2 linked regions of the Stegostoma tigrinum genome follow. The protein of the gene in region 1 purifies or fractionates together with the protein of each later gene. This does not show direct contact. Links are inferred from orthologs where the notes say so. Each region holds a gene or a part of one and is shown on either strand. Other genes may lie near its edges.

Region 1 (10,454 bases):
CCTTAATTATCTTTCAAATAAATTTTTAAGATTCTCAGGGTATGAAAGAAAACCAGCACTGAGATAGAGGATCAGCCATGATCACGGTGAATGGCACAGCACGCTTGAAGGGCTGGACAGCCTACTCCTGCACTGACTTTTTCAATTAGCTCAGAATACATCTTTTGAGGTAATCCTTCTAACTCGCACAGGCAAAGAAATATCATACATTTATGTAAACCTTTTGATTTTACCTGTTACAATCAATAGAATTAAAGTAACGTGCAGAGAGGTGAGGGAAATAAGTTTACAATTTTATCCATTTCAAACAACACTGTCAAACAAAGCTTTTGTTTTCATTTGCATTTGGGACCATGTTAATTTTCAAGAGTTAAAATGGGATCAGTACTTCTTCTTGTTCCTACCAAAATATGTCACTTTTTAACCAATTGTGAGCAGCTATTCAAATGCAAGAGGAAAGCATGTAAATGGCAGGACCTTTAAGAGCACTGATATACAGAGGAATCTTGGGATGCGAGTCCATAGCTCCCCAAAAGTGACAACACAAGTGGATAAGGTGATACAAAAAAAAAGGTGTGCAAGTTACTTGCCCTCAACGGTCAGGGTATTGAGCATAAAAGTTGACAAATCCTGTAGCAGCTGTATAAAATCTTTGACCACATTTGGAGTATTGTGTGCAGTCTTGGTCAGCACACTAATTGGAAGGATGTGGAGACTTTGGGCTGGGTACAAAAGAGGTTTCCCAGGATGTTGACCGGATTGGAGTGAATTAGCTCTAAACAGAGGTTGGACAAACCTGTTTTTGCTGAAGTGTTAAAACCTGGGGGGCAATCTGATAGAAGTAGCTAAAATAATGAGACACTTGGATAGGGTGGATAGTTGGAAATGTTTTTCCCATTGTGGAAATAACAAATACTGGGCAGGGGAGGGGGATGGAATTAGTTTAGAATGGCATCATGGTCAGTGCAGACATGGTGGGCTGAAGGGCCTGTTCTTGTGCGGTACCTCTATGCTCTCAGCAGTTCAGGCCTTCTGGAATATTTAAGTTAGGAATGCATGCACAGTTACCCTCCTTCCTTTGTGGCCCCAACTTGGGACATCAGTGCACCCCAAAATAGGAATTCTCCTCAGCCTCTCCTCAGCTGTAGGAAAAAGGAATGACGCTGCTTGAAAAAGACCCAAGGCAGCTGTGACAGACACCACTGTAAACGCCAAGTTAACCTCTCTCCAGGAATGCAGATCCTTTACTGGCAGAACAAAGTGAAATTCCATAGTAAATCTACCCTGTGGATTACCAAGGAAATACAGGTAATTTCTCCATCAGGACATCTATGAAATCCTGACAGCACAGACAAGTTGGGTTGAAGGGGATGTTTGTGTTTTATATGACTCTGACTCTAGGAAGGAGATGTACTGACCCAATAAGGAAGGAGGGCTGAAACTTTGCAGGGAATTGAAGAGAAGAAAAGGAGTTGTGGTCTGAATCAGGACACTAGCTTTACTGGACTTGGCGTCAAACCTTCTGAAATTGCACACTAAAGGAAAACAAACTAAAAGCTGGAACAAAACTTTAGAATACTGACAGGCACGAAGTTAACAGTTAGATTGTCTTTCAGATAAAAGTCCATTCAACAAATATCCCCTAACCTTTGGTCTATGTTTCAGATGTACACAGGCCCCTTCAGTCATTCTGGTACTTTTGTGTTGCGTTCTTTAAAACAGCAAGGAGATGCCTAGCAGACAGACCAAACATAAGGGGGCTCTGAATAACATAAAGCAAAACCCAGATTCAAGTCCTACCAGAAACATGTAATAACATCTCTAAACAGGTTATTTAGAAAATAACTGCTCCTAATTTCTGCTCATAAGATGCTGCTTGGCCTGCTGTGTTCATCCAGGTCTACACCTTGTTATCTCGGATTCTCCAGCATCTGCAGTTCCTATTATCTCTCATTTAGAAAATATAATTTTTTTGAAGAATACAAACACAATAAAAAATACCCTTTCTCTCGCACACACTCCTATGGTTTGACAGAAATGGGTGGTAATTGCTCAACATCTTGGTTTACTTTTAGGAAAACATTAAATCTGTCTCTATTCAGCACATATCTATCAGTGAAACCCAAACCTTAACCCTGGCAAACTAACAGCTGCTGTCTGCTTGACCTGAATACAGACTACAGGCAGTTATATCCACGAGCAACACAGAGGTATCCTCACTTGACCATGTTAGTAATGTGAGGTACTGCTGCCGAGATCAAGAGCCTGAATCTGAAACAGATCAATAGGGGTCTTTATATGAGTAGAGTACAGCTGACAGTAGACAAGCAGACTTCCAGAGTCAGCAAAGTTTTCCACTTCAAATATCATAACGGGCACAAGACCTCCAACAGTATGGCCATGGAAATGTTGGATTAAGGGTGATATTTCATGGTCTATAAGTGTTATTCAGCCATCATCGAAACTGGAATTCATTAAAAACTAAAAAGACCAACATAACCAGTATGTGGGTAAAAGGTAAAGGACACATAATGGCATGCAGTTGTCAATGTCCCGAGTCAGGAAATCTTAAGTGTTGAGTAATTCTTTATCACCGACAAGCAGTTCAATGATAAGGACACAACTGAAAAGATAAAGTTGTGAAGTACTTTAAATGTTATAACAGCCTTGGGAAATAGGATATCGTATTTTCATATTGGGCTCAAAGTCAAAAACCTGCAGTTTGTTCCTACTCCACAATTGGGTAGCTAGCTTGGTCTTTACCCCGTTCTTGTTCTCTCAGTTGAAGCATACACTGTGCAGTAACATGTTGCAATCCTCTATTCACTAGTAAGTGTTTGCCTACGAGCAAAACCAATCATGAAGGTCAAATTATTCACATTATACAACGCATGCTATTCCACACTACACACACCAGGCACACTGCTCCACATTATACAGACATGCAGCATAGGGCTCTACACACTACGATTACACTAATCCATGGTAAGCAACACATAACAATCATACTGTTGCATGTTAAGCACTTGCACCAAAAATACAATTCCACATTTTAATAACACACTGACACAGTACCTTGGTCTAAATGTTAAAATACACAGAACACACAGCTCCACGTAATTTAACACAATACACATAAAGTATTGTCCCACAATACACACCCAACCAACACATTGTCCCATATAATGCAGTGCTCACATGCAACATACTGCTCTACATTGTACTGGTTGTGTGTTGTAAATTGTGGAGCAGAATACTGGCTTATGTGCACAGCATCAGGTGGCAGTGTGCTGAGTGTGGGTTGTCTTTTATCCTGCACCATGCAACATACACTTGAGCACAGTGACTTACATTACAACACACTGTCCCACAGAATACTGCTCCACCTTATAACACACGAGCACATGCTCCTATATTGTACAAGAGATACCGCTCGAATATTATGCAACAGACACCCTCCTATGTTATATAAGCCACACCAAACACAGTGGCCCACATTATAACACACAGCCCCACAGAGTACTACACATTGAGCACAGTGCTACATTGTAACACACAGAGAGTACTCTGTCCCAGATTGTAACACAAACCCAGAGCGCTACCTAATCTGTGTCGGTCAATGATCTCTACGGGACAGAGCGAGAAGATAAGGCCGGCTCCTGTGGCGAGCTCCCCAGCCTAAATGTCACCTTCACCGCAAGGTCACAGAGCTGGACTGCCAGACACCGCCTGCCCGAGTCCCCACCCGAACTCCTCAACTTACCTCCCCACCGGTTTCAGCTTGAGGTCACAACCGGACTTGGCTTCGATCTGCTGGGATGGACCTGCGTTAGAGAGAGAGAGAGAGTGTGAGAAGGAGCCAAAAGTGTGCGCTGGGCCGAGTGGGGCGCTGCGCGGCGCTGCCTCCTACCCGTCCTCCGCTGTGTAGCCAGCCTACTGGGTCCCCGGGTAATGGTGTACATGGTCAGGAACAACCTCTCGGTATGCAGCACCGGCACAGTCCGGTCCGGGACACAGTCACCGCCTCCCCAGCTGAAAGGGATCCGCCTCCCTGATGCCCAGCCCTACAGTGTACTCCAGGAAAGTCTCAGCCACAACCGAGAAACACACAGCCCAAACTCCCGGAGTCCATCCAATCCAATCCAACTCCAACTGGATCCAACTTCCAGGATCACACAACTCCAACCTCACCCACCAGCTGGGATCGCCCAACCTAACGCATTAATCTGGGAAATCCCACCCAGAACCACTGAATTCGACCCAATAAAATAAAAAAAATTATGGTATAAAGGTAACACGTTTGGACGTAGAAGATTGGTTGGCTGGCGGAGAATGGAAAGTATGCATATAGGTCATAGAGATGAACAGCATGGAAACAGTCCCTTTGGTCCAACTCATCCATGCTGACCACATATCTAAATTAATCTAGTCCTATGTGCCAGCATTTGACCCGTATCCCTCGAATCCCATCTTATTCATCTACACATCCAGATGTCTTTTAAATGTTGTAATGTACCTGCCTCCACCATTTCCTGTGGCAGATAGGGTGGCGTGTGTATGGAACTATGTGTGAAAAAGTTGCCCCATTGTCACAGAGTAGAATAATTGAATCCCTACAGTGCAGAAAGAGGCTATTTGGCCCATCAAGTCAGCACTCACTCACTAAAGAACATCTCATCCAGACCTCTCCCCTGCCCAAACCCATCCCCATATCCCAGAATGGGGTTTTTACCATGGCTAACACAGCAAACTTGCACATCTCTGGACACTACAGGGCCCTTTTGTTTGGCATGGCCATGTGACACAGGGGTCTGTGCTGGACCCTCAACCATTTGCAAAACAGATAGGAAAGTAAGTTCTGTAAAAGACCTGACAGAACAAGTTGAAGAGCTGGATGAACACAGGAGGCCAAGCAGCATCAGAGGAGCAGGAAAGCTGAAGTTTTGGGCCTCGACCCTGCTGTGTTCATCCAGCTCTACACCTTGTTATCTCAGATTCTCCAGCATCTGCCGTTCCTACTATCCCTGTAAAAGACCTAACAAGTTTTTAGATGATTATGGAGCAAAGGAGCAAAATATCCAGCAGATGGAGTATAATGTGGGAAAATGTGAAATCATTAACTGTTAGGAAAGAAGAAAAAGGAAAGTATTTCTTACCTAGAGAATGACTGCAGAATTTAGGCTTACACAAGGGTCTAGGTGTTCTACTGCATGAGAACAAAACTTTGCTATGCAGGTATGGCACATAACCAAAGACTAATTGGGTCCTTTGCTTATTACAGGAGGAATTGAACATAAAGATGAGAATATTATATTTCAGTAAAGCAGAACACTAATGAGATCACATCTTAAATACTGGAATGCAATTTTGATTTCCTTTGTCAAGGATGAAAATACATTGGAGGTGGTTTAGAGGAAGTTTATTAGGTGATACCTGGACTAAGCAGATTGTTTTATGAGGATACGTTGGTCAGACTGCTTCAACTGAAGTTTAAAAGAGTGAAGACTGAAGTATATTTGATCCTGAAAGATCGTAACAAGGTGGACAGGATTTTCTTCTTGAGAATGACCTCAGAACTAGGGGACACAGTTTTCAAATTAGGGGTGACCTATTAAGACCTAGTTTAGGAGATTTATTTTCTGGGCTTTGGAACTCCATCTCAGAAGATTGGAAGATTTTAAGGCAAAGGGAAATAGAATTTTGTTTGTTGAGAGAATCAAAACTTACTGGGGTAGAAACAAATCATCAATGATCTTATTGAATGGTGGAGCAAGCTCAAGGGGCTGAATGACCTAATTCTGCTTCTATTTTGTATGTTCATATGTTTTTAACCCAGTAACCTAGACCACCTAACTCAGCCAAATTTGTGGGAGCATTTAACTGGTCACTGTCAGATCATTCAATCGAGCCACCAACTGCAACTGAACATCTGTGCGCTATCCAATCAACATAGAGTCATAGCGTCTTACAGCACAGAAATAGAACCTACAGTCCAACCATTGATAGTTCATAGAATCCGTCATTGGATTCCTGCAGTATGGAAAAAGGCTATTCGGCCCAACAAGTTCACATGACTCTCCAAAGAGCATCCCACCCAAACTCACCCATCCCTGCAACCACACATCTCCCATGGCTAATCCACATAAAGTACACATTCCCAGACACTATAGGCAATTTAGCATGGCCAATCCACCTAACCTGCATGTCTCTGGACTGCCACGCTGAACATAATCCCAAACTAATCTAGTCCCAACTGCCTGTTCCTGGCCCTTATCCCTCCAAACCTTCCCTATACATGTACTTCTCTAAATGTCTTTTAAAAGTTGTAACTGTGCCTGCATCCTTTACTTCCTCAGAAAGTTCATAGAACATAGAACATAGAACAGTACAGCACAGAACAGGCCTTTCAGCCCACAATGTTGTGCCGACCATTGATCCTCATGTATGCACCCTCAAATTTCTGTGACCATATGCATGTCCAGCAGTCTCTTAAATGACCCCAATGACCTTGCTTCCACAACTGCTGCTGGCAACGCATTCCATGCTCTCACAACTCTCTGTGTAAAGAACCCACCTCTGACATCCCCTCTATACTTTCCACCAACCAGCTTAAAACTATGACCCCTCGTGCTAGCCATTTCTGCCCTGGGAAATAGTCTCTGGCTATCAACTCTATCTATGCCTCTCATTATCTTGTATACCTCAATTAAGTCCCCTCTCCTCCTCCTTTTCTCCAATGAAAAGAGACCAAGCTCAGTCAACCTCTCTTCATAAGATAAGCCCTCCAGTCCAGGCAGCATCCTGGTAAACCTCCTCTGAACCCTCTCCAAAGCATCCACATCTTTCCTATAATACGGCGACCAGAACTGGACGCAGTATTCCAAGTGCGGTCTAACCAAAGCTTTATAGAGCTGCAACAAGATCTCACCACTCTTAAACTCAATCCCCCTGTTAATGAAAGCCAAAACACCATATGCTTTCTTAACAACCCTGTCCACTTGGGTGGCCATTTTAAGGGATCTATGTATCTGCACACCAAGATCCCTCTGTTCCTCCACACTGCCAAGAATCCTATTCTTAATCCTGTACTCAGCTTTCAAATTCGACCTTCCAAAATGCATCACCTCGCATTTATCCAGGTTGAACTCCACCTGCCACCTCTCAGCCCATCTCTGCATCCTGTCAATGTCCCGCTGCAGCCTACAACAGCCCTCTATACTGTCAACGACACCTCCGACCTTTGTGTCGTCTGCAAACTTGCTGACCCATCCTTCAATCCCCTCATCCAAGTCATTAATAAAAATTACAAACAGTAGAGGCCCAAGGACAGAGCCCTGTGGAACACCACTCACCACTGACTTCCAGGCAGAATATTTTCCTTCTACTACCACTCGCTGTCTTCTGTTGGCCAGCCAATTCTGTATTCAAGCAGCTAAGTTCCCCTGTATCCCATTCCTCCTGATCTTCTGAATGAGCCTACCATGGGGAACCTCATCAAATGCCTTACTGAAGTCCATATACAGCACATCCACAGCTCGACCCTCGTCAACTTTTCTAGTCACATCCTCAAAAAACTCGATAAGGTTTGTGAGGCATGACCTACCCCTCACAAAGCCGTGTTGACTGTATTTGATCAAGCCATGCTCCTCCAGATGGTCATAAATCCTATCCCTCAGAATCCTTTCTAACACCTTGCAGACGACAGACGTGAGACTTACTGGTCTGTAATTGCCGGGGATTTCCCTATTTCCTTTCTTAAAGAGAGGAATTACATTTGCCTCTCTCCAGTCCTCAGGTACGACTCCAGTGGAGAGCGAGGATGCAAAGATCTTCACAAGTGGCGAAGCAATTTCATTTCTCGCTTCCCAAAGCAGCCGAGGACAAATCTGGTCCGGGCCTAGCGACTTGTCAATCTTAATGTTTGACAAAATTTTCAGCACATCAGCTTCCTCTATCTCTATCCATTCCAGCATGCACACCTGCTCTTCAAAGGTTTCATTCACTACAAAGTTTGTTTCTTTCGTAAAGACAGAAGCAAAAAACTCATTAAGGGCTTCCCCTACCTCCTCAGACTCCACACACAAGTTCCCTATGCTATCCCTGATCGGCCCTACTCTTTCTTTGACCATTCTCTTATTCCTCACATAAGTGTAAGATGCCTTTGTGTTCTCCCTAATCCGTTCTGCCAAGCCTTTCTCGTGCCCCCTCCTGGCTCTCCTCAGACCTTTTTTTGAGCTCCTTCCTTGCCTGCGAGTAATCCTCTCTAGCTGAACTTGACCCTAGCTTCCTCCACCTTATGTAAGCTACCTTCTTCCTTTTCACAAGAAGCTCCACCGCTCTCGTCATCCAAGGTTCCTTTATCTTACCCCTTCTTGCCTATCTCAGAGGGACATATTTACTCATCACTCGCAACAACTGTTCCTTAAACAGTCTCCACATGTCTATAGTTCCCTTACCATGGAACAATTGCTCCCAGTCCATGCTTCCTAACTTGTGTCTAATCGCGTCATAGTTTCCTCTTCCCCAATTAAATATCCTCCCATTTTGCCTAATCCTCTCCTTCTCCATAGCTACGTAGAATGTCATTCCACATATTCTGAGTAAAAAAAAATCCCTCATATCTTTTTTAAAATCTCTCTATTTTCACCTTAAAAAAGTACCTTGTGGTCTCAAAATCCCCCACTTTAGGCAAAAGACACCTATTGACACAGTAACCCTATCTATTTTATTATGATTTTATAATGACCGTCATGCCCCACAAGCTCTAAAATAAGGAACATGTGTGATTACTTGAAAATATTTACACCATCTGTAATTATTTAAAATGTTTCAAAAGTACTTATGAGTTTATATCACTTATAAGGGTATAAATTATAATTTTTGAATAACAATGCTTGATAGTGCAGGACATTTGAAAAGTGAGGCAATTTAGAGCAAAGACGAAAGGGCAGTGATTACTTCAGAAATTAGCTCTGATAGGCTGAAGCATTGCATGGAGAATGCAGTGGGAACTATAGGCCCTCTGCGCTTTCGTATAACTCAAAAATCGTACAAGGTTTGAACATATCGTAAATGAGCTACATCAGTGACAACTCACCGGCAAAGACTCCTTGCAAGGTCCACCTTTGTACCAAGAAGACTCTGACTGTACCCATCAACAAAGCTCAGTGAATTTAATCCAACATACCCCATAAAGTTCACCAGAGCAGGGTAATGTATGTACTTTTCAGGCAATCAAACTAGTTTGGGGAAATTTTAACTGAATTTATTGTTCAGGAGTTACTTCTTTAAATTGCGAGTGTTTTAATTAAACTACATTTGAATTATAGTCCATTGTTTGTCTCATACAGTATCAGTGCCCGAGTCAACACATTTTATGAGTAACAAACTGTTTGAGGTATCTGTGTAACATATTTCACAGGCAACACAGTAAATGGAGCATTGATGTACAGAGGTACCTTGGGTACAAGTCCATAGCTCTCTGAAAGCAACAACACAAGTGAACAACATGGTAAAGATGTACAGCACACTTGCCTTCAGTGGTTAGGGCATTGATTATAAAGGTGGCAAGTCATCTTATGGTTGTATAAAACTTCACTTAGGCCACATTTGGAATTTTTTTTAGTCACCACCCTATAAGATGGATTTGGAGGCTTTGGAGAAAGTGCAAAAGAGGTTTACCTGAGATGCTGCTGGGCCTGCTGTGTTCATCCAGCCTCACATTTTATTTACCAGGATATTGCCTGAATTGGCGTATTTTGACCATAAGGAGAGGTTAGACAACTTGGATTATTTTTGCTAGCGCATTAGAGGCTGAGGGAGTGACCGGATAGAAGTATATAAAATTATGAGAGGTACGTATAAGGTGGATAGTCAGGGTTTTTTCCTCAGGGTGGAAATGTCAAATACTAGGGGCATTGGTTTAAGTTGAAAGGGGGAAGCTTAAAGAAGATATGAAGGAATTTCTTTTACACAGAAAGTGGTAAATGCTTGGAACATGCTACTGGAACAAGTGGTAGAAGCAGATACAATAGCATCATTTAAGAGGCATTTAGACAGACACATTAACAATCCAGGAATAGATGGCATTACGGTTGGTGCAGACATGATGGTCCAAAGGGTCTGTTCCTGTGCTGTACTGTTGTATATTCTAGTAAGCTCACTGATTATCTTCACTTGTCATTGCTAATTATGTGGAAAATAAAGCATTGTTTTGGCCTGATAACTGTTAGTGGGAAATACTACTCACATTGCCACTGTATGATAACAATAGAGAAAGATTTGCTTAAGCTGTTCAAATTTTTCAGGAACCTTACTTTTCTAGAGTAATTTGAGGTAAACTGGGCATTTTGGAATCTGAAAGTGATTGCCCAGTTGTTACCCAATACATCGTGAATATTGGTCTGATTAGGATAGGCATTCTCCCACAAGATAGCTTTGATGTGCACTTTCTC
Region 2 (10,889 bases), on another chromosome or scaffold:
TATTAGTGCTCACCATTCTTAATTACACTGCACAAGAAGGCAGTTTACTAAACTTTTTTTAAGGGTGTTCTGCAACAAATTTCTCTCAAGAAAAATGCCGGTGTAAATTATCTGCAGCAAAACCATGGTCTCTCAATGGAGGTATTAATATAACATTTTGTAAAAACATCCTACACATTTTTTTGAGAGCTGTTCAATCTTGAAGTGCAAAATGATGCATTTTGGGTCAAACTCTTCAATTTGGATCACTGTATTTTAATTTTACATAGTGTCTAATTTGGTCGATTTGATCTAATTTCAATAAACTGAGCAATAATCCTGTCATAAATGTGAATAAGGCAGTAGAACATTAATTTTGTCTGTTCAGTATGAATAAGACTTTGTTGAAGCTTTTCTTGTGAGATACTATTAAAGGATTGTTTTAAACAGAATAAAAATTGTTCCACAGTAAATGTACCTTTAAGTTGTCTTCATTCCACTTCATGCTCCTTCATTATTTTTCACCTTTCGTGCTGAGCAATAGTTCCAAAAGCACTAATTTCTCATTACCAGCAGGATCTTCAACTGGGTGAAAGAATTGTTATCAAATCAAATCTAATTCTAATCACTTTTTATGCATTCACGTGAAGCAGAAATTTTACTTTCACCCCTATTGCCAGGTGTAATATTTCAGCTGAGTTCTGGCAATATAGAATGGTCTTAGTGTGGACTTTACTAGTTTCAAAATCTCCCTACCCCCCAGCCTCATCCCATGACCAACCCATCCTCTCATCCCCACCTCCTTGACCTGACAAAACCTGTCCATCTGCTCTCCTGCCTATCTGCTCTTCCCACCTAACTGACCAACCGCCACTTTTGCCTACTTGCGCTCACCTATTACCATCCCACCTACCTTGCCAAGCCCCACACCTCTCTGTATTTATTTCAGAGTTCCCTTCCCCCTCCCCCATTTCTGAAGAAGGGTCCTGACCTGAAACATCAGCTTTTTTGCTCCTCTGATGCTGCCTGGCCTGCTGTGAGTCCACACTGTGTTATCCTAGACTGTTGTGGGCATACTGTTATTCACTGTGTATGCAGGACAAAGCAGCCATTTAATTGACATCACATCCGCAAGCATCCAGTGCCGACACCCAGTAGTAGCAGCAGTGTGTACTATCTACAAGATGTGCTGCAGAAATTTACCAAAGATTCTTAGACAGTCGGTTCCAAATCCACAGACACTTCCAACTAGAAGACAAGGGCAGCAAGTACATATGAACACCACTAGCTGCCCTCCAAGCTACTTACCATGCTGACTTGGAAATATATTGCCATTCCTTTATTCTTGCTGGATCAAAATCCTGTAATTCCTTCAAGGGCAGTGTTTCAACCTACAGCATGTGGACTCCGGCGGTTCAAGGACGCACCTCATAACCACCTTATCAAAAGCAACTAGGGATGGGCAATAAATGTTGTCCAGCCCGTGATACCCACATCCCATTAGTGAGTAAAAAATTTCCCCCTTGCAAGATCCATGAGATAATTGCGATCATAAGGACTTGAATTGGAAAGGAATAAAATAACACAAAATTGTGTTTAGCGTTTGTCAATGTTTCTGGAGAGAAATAAATTCATGTCCTTCAAGAATTCCATATCTTTGTTTCTGGAATTTTTGTTCCCTCCCCCACAATATAATCTGTTACAGGCATGCCAGAACTTTATTAAATAAAAAAGTTAGTCTGGCTGTCAGATTGTCACTGCCATTGGGTGTGTAATTGAGTAGTTGCATTCAGCAGATTATAGCTTGGGCTTTCAGTAGATTTGGGCAGTGAACGTATATTTGTGGAAAGTTGAATGGAAATGTAACGTTGCCTATTTCTACGCATCTCTCAGCTCATCTGCTCAAATGTTGATCTATACTTTAATCTTAGATTTGACTATTAAATGCTTTCTTGATTGGCGCATTCCAGGTGGAAGACCGTAAATGGGATCTTAACCAAAATCCTGCTGTTTGTAAACTTACTCCTAACAAGTCCTCTTGACCTATCACCTTGTGTATTGACTTGTCTCTTGGTCTAGCAAGGCCTATTTAAAATTCACATCTTGTTTTCAAATAGCTCTGTAGCTTGCCCCTCATCCCTGTAATCTCTTCTGGCCTATCAAACTTCACGAGTGCGCATCTCCAGTTCTGTCTGTGTGCATCATTAATTTGGATCATTTCACAATTATCTGCCTTGCATTCAACTGTCTAGACCCAAGTTCTGGAATTTCTTCTCTAAACTGTCAGCCTTGCTAGCTCTCATATGGGATGACTTTTAAAAATACCTTTTTGCCCAAGCTTCATCATTTGCCCTAATATCTCTCTGCAGTTTAGTGTCTGGTTTTATTTAGTATTACTTGAGAAACACTTTGAGATGCCTTATTGTGCTAAAGACTATGGAAATGCAAGCTGTTAGTGTTAAATATGCTTGCATTTTATTTCAGGCTTAATAAAAAGTGGTTCCATATATGATTTTTGGATAGAACTACTGGTAATGATTTATTTCAATTTGATAAGAAGGATCTCATTTTTAATGCATTGATGTAATTCTTTGATCAAGTTCAACTGTATGAAACAAAATTCTGAACTAACATAAATAATTCATGTCCTCAAACTAGTATCACGAGCAAATTACTTAATTCCAACAAATCAAATTAGTTATGCTTATTTGGCTTGCTGTGGAATTATGAATTCCCCACTGCAACTATAAAAATTTTTATGCTTCCAGAATATGGATGGTAAACAATAATCGAAGTTTTAAAACAATTAGGCATTAATACAAATATGTCAAATAACTTTGTTAAGAAAACATCTTCACAGATGCTGAAAGAGCTGAGTATTTCTCGTACTCTCTTTCTATTATAGATTGTGTGATTGAGTGGCAGCTGAGGCAAATAAAAATGGAAACACAGAACTTTGTAGGCTTCAAGCTAGAAATGCGTTCCATTAGAGGTTTCTAGTCTCAAATACAAACCACATTTTTTCCCCAGTCCCCTAAATTGTTGGTATACTCATCCCACGTTGTTGGCAGTTCCTGCTGAATAAATGGGAGCTTAAGGTTAGAAATTATTAAAGTCAATATTACAGACTGTTTCTTGAATTTATGTTAGCCTATTCAACTGAAGCAGATAGGGCAGGGTGGAAGAAAGATACTGAATTGGCAAGCATATGAGATTTGCAAATGCATACAATATGGAGGTATCCCTTAATCTGTGTACCATTCTAGGTTGGACAAGGTATACATAAACTAAAAGGAGTATTTGGAGCTGTAATCTCATTGAATGGTAGAGCAGTCTTGATGGGTGAATTGTGGAAACAACCTGATAGGCTAAATGGCCTACTTCAGCTCATATCTTTTGGTGGTGTGAGAATGAAAAGTACTAGAGAAGAATTGTAGGTGATAGGAATGTTAAAGAATAAAGCTGTGTCATTGAGTAATGATCCATTCAGAAAAAGGAAAGGAAGACAAGATATGTTACATGAGAGATTACTGCAAGACGGGCAGATTAAGGTCGCCCATTGAAAGCAGGAATTGGCACAGTTGAAGATTAAGCTTAAAAGTTCCCATCAGTGGGATGGGACTGGGGACACAAACGGAATAGAAAAGACTTGGTTGAGGATCCTGACTACCATGGTTGAAGGGGTTGAGAATCCTCAAATGGGATTTTATTTCTGAATCATCTGTAAATTAACTGGAGTAAGTGGGACAGAGAAACAGGCGAAGGGGAAATAGAGATTTTTGACTTGCTGGCTGAGCTGGCTTGTTCTTGTTTAGACGTTTCATCAACATGTTAGGTGACATTGTCAGTGGAGCCTCCAATGAAGCTTCATCGGTGACTCCATTGATGATGTCACCTAGCATGGTGATGAAACATCTGAATGAGAACAAGCCAGCTTGGCAAGCAAGTCAATGACCTCCCCCACAACCTGAGCTACAGATTTTTGGTAAAACTTTGAAGGGGAAGTAGAGTTGCGAAATGAGCAGAAGGGTGATCTGGACAGAAGTAGGATTTATTATTAGTATGGTTTAGAAGGGGTGGACGCTAGGAAGTTATTTCCGTTAGGCGGGGAGACTAGGACCCGTGGGCACAGCCTTAAAATTAGAGGGGGTAAATTTAAAACTGAAATGAGACGACATTTCTTCAGCCAGAGAGTGGTGGGCTTGTGGAATTCATTGCCAGGGAGTGCAGTGGAGGCCGGGACGTTGGATGCCTTCAAGGCAGAGATCGACAAATTCTTGATCTCAGAAGGAATCAAGGGCTACAGGGGGAGAGTGCAGGGAAGTGGAGTTGAAATGCCCATCAGCCATGATTTAAATGGCGGAGTGGACTTGATGGGCTGAATGGCCTTACTTCCACTCCTATGTCTTATGGTCTTACGGATTTAGTGGGCTTTCATTTCTGGAGGTAGCAAGCAGTCCAGGAAGGGAAGATCAAAAATGGAGAGTATACAGTTCAAGTAATTGAAAACTTGAAACAATGAATTAAATATTCTAAATTGGGGCGAGTGATAGTCATCACTTTAAGAGGAAACGAGGTCAGAGGAGAACCTGAGAAGAGAGCAAGGACATGTACACATTTCCTGCAACAATATTATGAATACATTTATTTATTTTCTGTAAATCTGTTTTTAACAGTTTTGTACAAACATTTTAAGCATTTGTAATCGGCACTTTGAAGTAACAACATGGTTATTAAAATAATTTGTTAAAAAAACTTAATTACGTGGCTGGTCCTGGATCAAACTGATTGCTCTTGTCTTGTAACCCTCTATCATAAACTAAATTCAATCACTTAAAACTTATGTTTAGCAGTAAAAAAAAAGCTATGGAAGTTGCTAACTTCTAATAACGACCTAACTGATGGCTCATTAACTATTTTAGACCAATATCAATCAACCATTCCAAAACTAAAATCAAATCTGGAAAAAAACCAGAAAATTATACAAATACTCAGGAGGTCATACAGAATCTGCAGAGAGAGAAAAAGATTTATGGTTCAGATAAATGACATTTTATGAGAATGATTATCTGCTTTACTTGACCTATACGTGTATAAATTTCATGGCGGATTATATATTCTCCTGGATTAGTTTTGCCCGCCATGCAGTTGAATGGAACACGCCCAATAAATACAACCTTTTGATATCAACCGTGTCCCGACAATAGACTAATTTGAATAGGCTGTAAATTCATTGTAAGTTCTCAAATCTTTCTAATGCATCAAATTAGCATGATTATAACTAAGGTGTGAAGAACAGGCTTCAATGCGACTGTCATCTTGGAATACGAGGTACACTTGCAAAGTAGAGGTGTGATGCACAAAACTAATAGTAGATATGAGCTTTTCCCTTTGTTGATGTATAAATGTTGGTCCGAACAATTACCTACTTTCCTTGTACCAATTTATCCATGTCTGTTTACAATTACAATTTGCCTATTTACCTTCAGTCGTAGCACTCTTGCCTTTGAGCCAAGAGGTTTTGTCTTCTTTTCTCACTGCAGAGCTCCACACAGAAAAACCTGACACTGCAGCAGTGCAGAAAGAATCCTACATTGTCAAATATGCTACCTTTCAGATACAAGAAACGAAGGCTCCATGTGCCTTTTCAGGGTAATTGTAAAATATCTCACGGTGCTATTTTGAAGCAAAGCATGTGTTATTCTGGTTAGTCTAGCAACTATTTCACCCTCATCATAATATATACATATTAATTTAGTTGAGAGATAACAGGCCCGAAACGTTAACTTTCCCGCTCCTGATGCCGTTTGGCCTGCTGTGGGGATCCAGCTCCACACCTTGTTACATAATTTAGTTATTTTGTTTGCAACAATTTGCTGTGCTTAGATGGCTGCCATTTATTCGATAGCATAACATTTCATGCTTTGCGATGTCCTATTATGAAAGGTGCTATGTAAATACAAGTTGGGTGTGTTCTCAGTGAGACTAGGAGGAAATGTTGACCTTTCCTAAGAAAGAGCTGAGCAGGGTGCAATGTCCAAAGATCAACATCACAAGTAAAAATGAACTCAATTCAACCAAGCTGAGATAGTGATCACTACTCCGGCCATCTGAGAGCTTGTCCCTCACCCGCAAAATAAACCTCCGCGCTCGTCGACGAGGTCAGAAGTCCGAAAGAACAGGACCGGAGAGCAGTGGGGGGAATGAGGGCAAAGCCAAACACAGTAACAATAAAGGGGGAGGGGGGGGAAGTCCCGTCGTAAAACCACTCGTTCCCGTCCATCTCCTGGCCGTTCTTTCAGCAGCGTCGAGTCCGATGATGCAGAGCCAACTTACTTTGTGGGTGGGGGAGGGGTGATCGACCGCATTGCCGGTGTGGTTTGGGGGTAGGGGAAGGTGCGAATGCGCCGGTCGGTGGGTGCGCGCGCACACGCCGGCGTGCCCGAATCCTGTTTGTCTGCCCCTCCCCTCAAACCTCCCCCCCCCTCCGCCACCCCGACCCCTCTCTGCCCCTCCCCTCCCCCCCCCCCCCATTCTCGTCCGTTCACCGTGTTGTTGGTGGCGGCCGAAGCTTTGCGATAGCAACGGGCGTTGCGGCGCTAACTGACTTTGAGGCCTGGACAGGCGATACGGAGGCCGCATCCGTACTCTTGTCCCTGACGACGTTTTCGTATTCCTCGGCGGGGGTGGGGAGAAGGGGAGGGGGGGAGGGTTTCACTGGTGTTGTGGATGCTGGGCCGGACCTTTTCTGTTCAAGGGTTTGAAGTGACTGGAAGCGGCATCTCTCTCCCACCCCTTGCCCTCCCCCATCACCATCATCGCCCACCATCATGTCCATGAAGCAGCCCAACAGCCGAAAGCCCAGCGGCGGCATCGGGACTGGTGGAGCAGCAGCTGGAGTTGGCGGAGGAGGGAGACAGTCAGGCGGCAGGTAATGAACAGGCTCTGTGTCCCCCCCCCTCTTTCCCCTCTCTGTGTCCCCCCCCCTCTTTCCCCTCTCTGTGTCCCCCCCCCTCTTTCCCCTCTCTGTGTCCCCCCCCCTCTTTCCCCTCTCTGTGTCCCCCCCCCTCTTTCCCCTCTCTGTGTCCCCCCCCCTCTTTCCCCTCTCTGTGTCCCCCCCTCTTTCCCCTCTCTGTCCCCCCCCCTCTTTCCCCTCTCTGTCCCCCCCCTCTTTCTCTATTGGTCCAACTTTAGCCCGAGGCTCTGGAGGCGGCCTTCTGTCACTGATGGGCCCGCCTTTCCCCTTCAATATGCCGGGCCCCGCGTTACCGAGAAACGAAACGGTAGTGTCCAGGCCTTGCGCTCAGGCCTCATCTTCCAGCGGGTTAATGCCGCTATGAGGATGCGGCCTACACGCCAGAAACCATAGACATCTGTATTCGGGCGGCTTTTAAAATACAGCCATTAAGCAGATGTAGATTAACCAATGCTTAAAGAGGATACATTCCTTTAGGGAAATCCGTTAGGTGCGATACAGCGTCAGTGTTCAAAGTTTCTTAGACCTTTACATTTTCTTCAATCTCAACAAAAGTATCTTTATGAAACGGAACTTGTTCAAGGTTTAAACCATTGTCAATGAATATTCGTTAGACACGAACATATCGAAATGCAGAACAATTATTACAATAATCTTAAATTAAGATCATACTGAGAATTTCAAAGTTACTTGTAATTCGTCAATAATGCAGAGTTATGATGTGACATTAAAATCAGAACAATTGTATTCAAAAGAACAATGTCTTGTATGTTACATGACGATTTAAATAACCGTACTGTTTTAGTGAGATTGACTGTGCGTGAGGAATATTAAGCTTTCTACAAAAATTTGTTCCTTGCAATGAATTTGTGCTGTACGTTTTGTGACAGTGCTGTACATACAATGCGAACATTTTACAGAATATTATGAAATTAAATATATTTATCCTCTAATAGTTAAAATTGAGCTGAAGATGTACTTCAGTGGTACTCTGAAAAACTAAGTTTGTGTATGCTTCAGCCCATGTGTTGCAACAGAGTTGATGACTGGCATTTGAATCATATTTACATTGGTTTTTATCTCCTTATTACTAAATGATTTAACCCTTTACTCCATTAATGATACCAGTGTTTTTGACTCATAATAATTATATAGTATTTTGAAGTTAATTATGAAAGTTCCAAGTATTTTGTTCCTTACAACTATAATTATATACTTATCCTCTCTGGAATGATGAGCTTTCCTCTTCCCAACAGTGGCAGATATTTTGTTAGATTTGTGTTTAGTTTGTACTGATCGGTTTGACTTGTTTATTTTTGAAATTTGTGTTTGGCATTGTATTGATTTCATTGCTTTTGTTCAAAGATGTGCAGGTTAGGTGGATTAGCCATGGGAAATACAGGGTTACAGGGATCGGGGTGAGTAGGTCTGTGTCAGATGCTTTTTGAATGCTCGTTGTGGACTTGATGGGCTGAATAACCTCTCTTAGTGTAAGGATTTTATGATCGTGTCAATGTGAATGAGTTTAATTATACATGCCAAAACAAGAGGAACTGTTGTTTCTTAAGCCTTTCCTCAAATATTTCTCTTCCATTGGGGAAAAAACACTTTCTCACTTTTAAGGACGTAATACAAATAGCTTTGCTTCAAATAATTGTCTTGGAAGATTTTTGGCTCTGTTTTCACAAGACAGATAATTTTAAAATTTAAATCATCGGACATGTAACCAAGGTGGAGTCGGAAATAACTCAAAGCTTTTATAGTAATTTTCCTTTTATATGTTAAAATGAATAGTTGCCTGATTTGACACCAGTTCACAATTCATCTTCAATCTGCCCATCTCCTGTGTGATTTGCTTGATCTTTCAACATCTCCTTGGACCACATGAGATATCGTAGGTTTAAAAGCCCCTAATCCCCATATCAAGCCTTTTGGAGCTTTTCAACTCAAACTACTGTTTGAAAAATCATATGTACTTGGCAAATCAGCGCTTATTCACTTATATGTTTAGGCATTTGCTTGCAGCCAGGAGAAAGTGAGTGAGGTAAAAACTTAGATTTTTTTCCTGCTTTTCACAACGTCAGAATGCCTAAAACATTACAGACCTAATGAAATACTCTTTCTTTAAATTGTAGCTACTGTAATGTAACAAAATGTGACAACCAATTTGTTCACTGCCAAAGAAACAAGATAAATTATGAAGCATATGTATTGGGCAGGACACTGAAGAACTTCCCTGCCTATCGTCTTGTATGGAGAACAGCTGGGTTTTTTAAATTCCAATAATTCAGTGCACACTTTATTTAGGTCAGCCTTCTATGGGGCCAGAAGTCTGGAGTTTACCTTGAATTTGTTATTTCCTGGCTGAGAAGTCTGTAACTTACCATTGAATAAAGGCTATCAGTTAGTTTTTCAATTTGGTTTCTCTGACACAATGTAACAAGGTGAAAAATAGTATCTTGCTAATTTCCAGGACAGATCTTTTTCTCTTGCATCCTCAAAACCCTTTCTCTGTTTGTCCTAACTCCGTTACCTTACAACTGCTCATTCGAGATTGGAAATGACTGTGAAAGTCATTCTCATGTTGGTCTTTTCAATCACGGCAAGAAAATGTCTTAAAACCTACTTGTTTAATTTGAGCCAAAATGTATGATAATCCACTTTGGTATACTGTCCTTGTGGATTTATGTTTGGATGAGGTGTGGCTGTTTGTTCACTCTAGTTTCACAGAATCCCTGATTGAAGCATAACAGATTCTACATTTATTTGCTATTTATTCGATAGTAAATGAACAACAAGGCCTTTTTTATGAATCTGGGCTACAGTTGTGGACCTTGATCTGAGAGGTGCATAAATTTGGTCACAAGTTCCTAATCTATACTGGATGACCTGCCCTTTCTGACTGGCAAGTGCCAGCAGTGATCCTTTGTCAAATCTGTTGTGTATCCATTGGTCTATTTCACTCAACAGTTTTTAAGTGAATGCAGTGAACATTTATGTATTGTTGGACTGCCATTCAGATCATCTATCTTCAACAGCAGTTTGGAAAATGTACACTTCTATTTTATACCTTCCTCTTCAAATTTTCCAACTTTGAAACAGTTTTTTATGATTTGCTTGCATGCATTGTCTGGATTGCATATTTTGCAAACATCATGCGATTTCCTGATTAGAAAGTGTTTACCTAATCTTTTACATCACAGTCACAGCATTTAGTTGGTTGTAAAGAAATTTAGGAACTCCTGAGGTCATGAAAGGCTGTAAATTTTTTTTCCCTGTCTTAAACAATTTTGCTAGTAAAGCTATGGTTCTTAGATTTAATGTTTATTATAATTATACTGAGAGGGAGAAGCAGTACTAGTTGTGACTATATATGAAAGCTGCTTTTGGGGCTGGGCCTGGATGAATTTTGAAATAAAATGGTTTGGAATCATAGAAATGGGCAGAGGGTTCTTTATCCTTTGCATTTCTCTTGGGTTTTAATACAGACTCTTCATCAGGTTGTCTGGTGGCTGGTCATGTTTATAGTGGACCCTACAGTCTACTTTGTTTCTAGATTATGACCAACTTTGACAAGCATCTTCCAAAGTGTTTGTATTCAAGGTGAATGTGTTGTCTAGTTGACTTCGCTCTTCATAATCAATGTGCACTAAATGCCATGTTGATCCAGTTGTCAGCAATATGGTAAGGATCCTGTAGTATTGGTCAGGAGACAAATGTAGGGCTTGGGTTAGCCTTCGAATTGCTCTTCACTTGGTTACACTCAGTCATAGCCTAGTTAAACTAACTGTATAAGATTAATCCAGAAGCTGTGGAATTAAATTTGATGGCAGCTTTTCTCCTCCATTCTCTCTTTGGTATTTTGTTATGTTCCTCAAGACATTCTGCCCATCACTGGAAGTCTGAAGTAATAAATGTTGAGTAGTCATTATAT

The links.
Region 2: the proteins of mcrip2 (region 1) and atxn2 purify together in Homo sapiens (co-immunoprecipitation; 3 studies listed by BioGRID and IntAct, with this or other methods). This does not show direct contact. The link is inferred for Stegostoma tigrinum from reciprocal best matches to the Homo sapiens genes MCRIP2 and ATXN2.

What each region holds. Positions count from the first base shown.
Region 1 is NC_081376.1:31,592,937-31,603,390, forward strand, and holds the start of mcrip2 (MAPK regulated corepressor interacting protein 2), read right to left. Parts: upstream 4,162-10,454; 5' UTR 3,963-4,161; coding exon 3,911-3,962; intron 3,825-3,910; coding exon 3,764-3,824; intron 1-3,763.
Region 2 is NC_081379.1:23,198,189-23,209,077, forward strand, and holds the start of atxn2 (ataxin-2), read left to right. Parts: upstream 1-6,516; 5' UTR 6,517-6,809; coding exon 6,810-6,910; intron 6,911-10,889. UniProt on the Homo sapiens protein: Involved in EGFR trafficking, acting as negative regulator of endocytic EGFR internalization at the plasma membrane.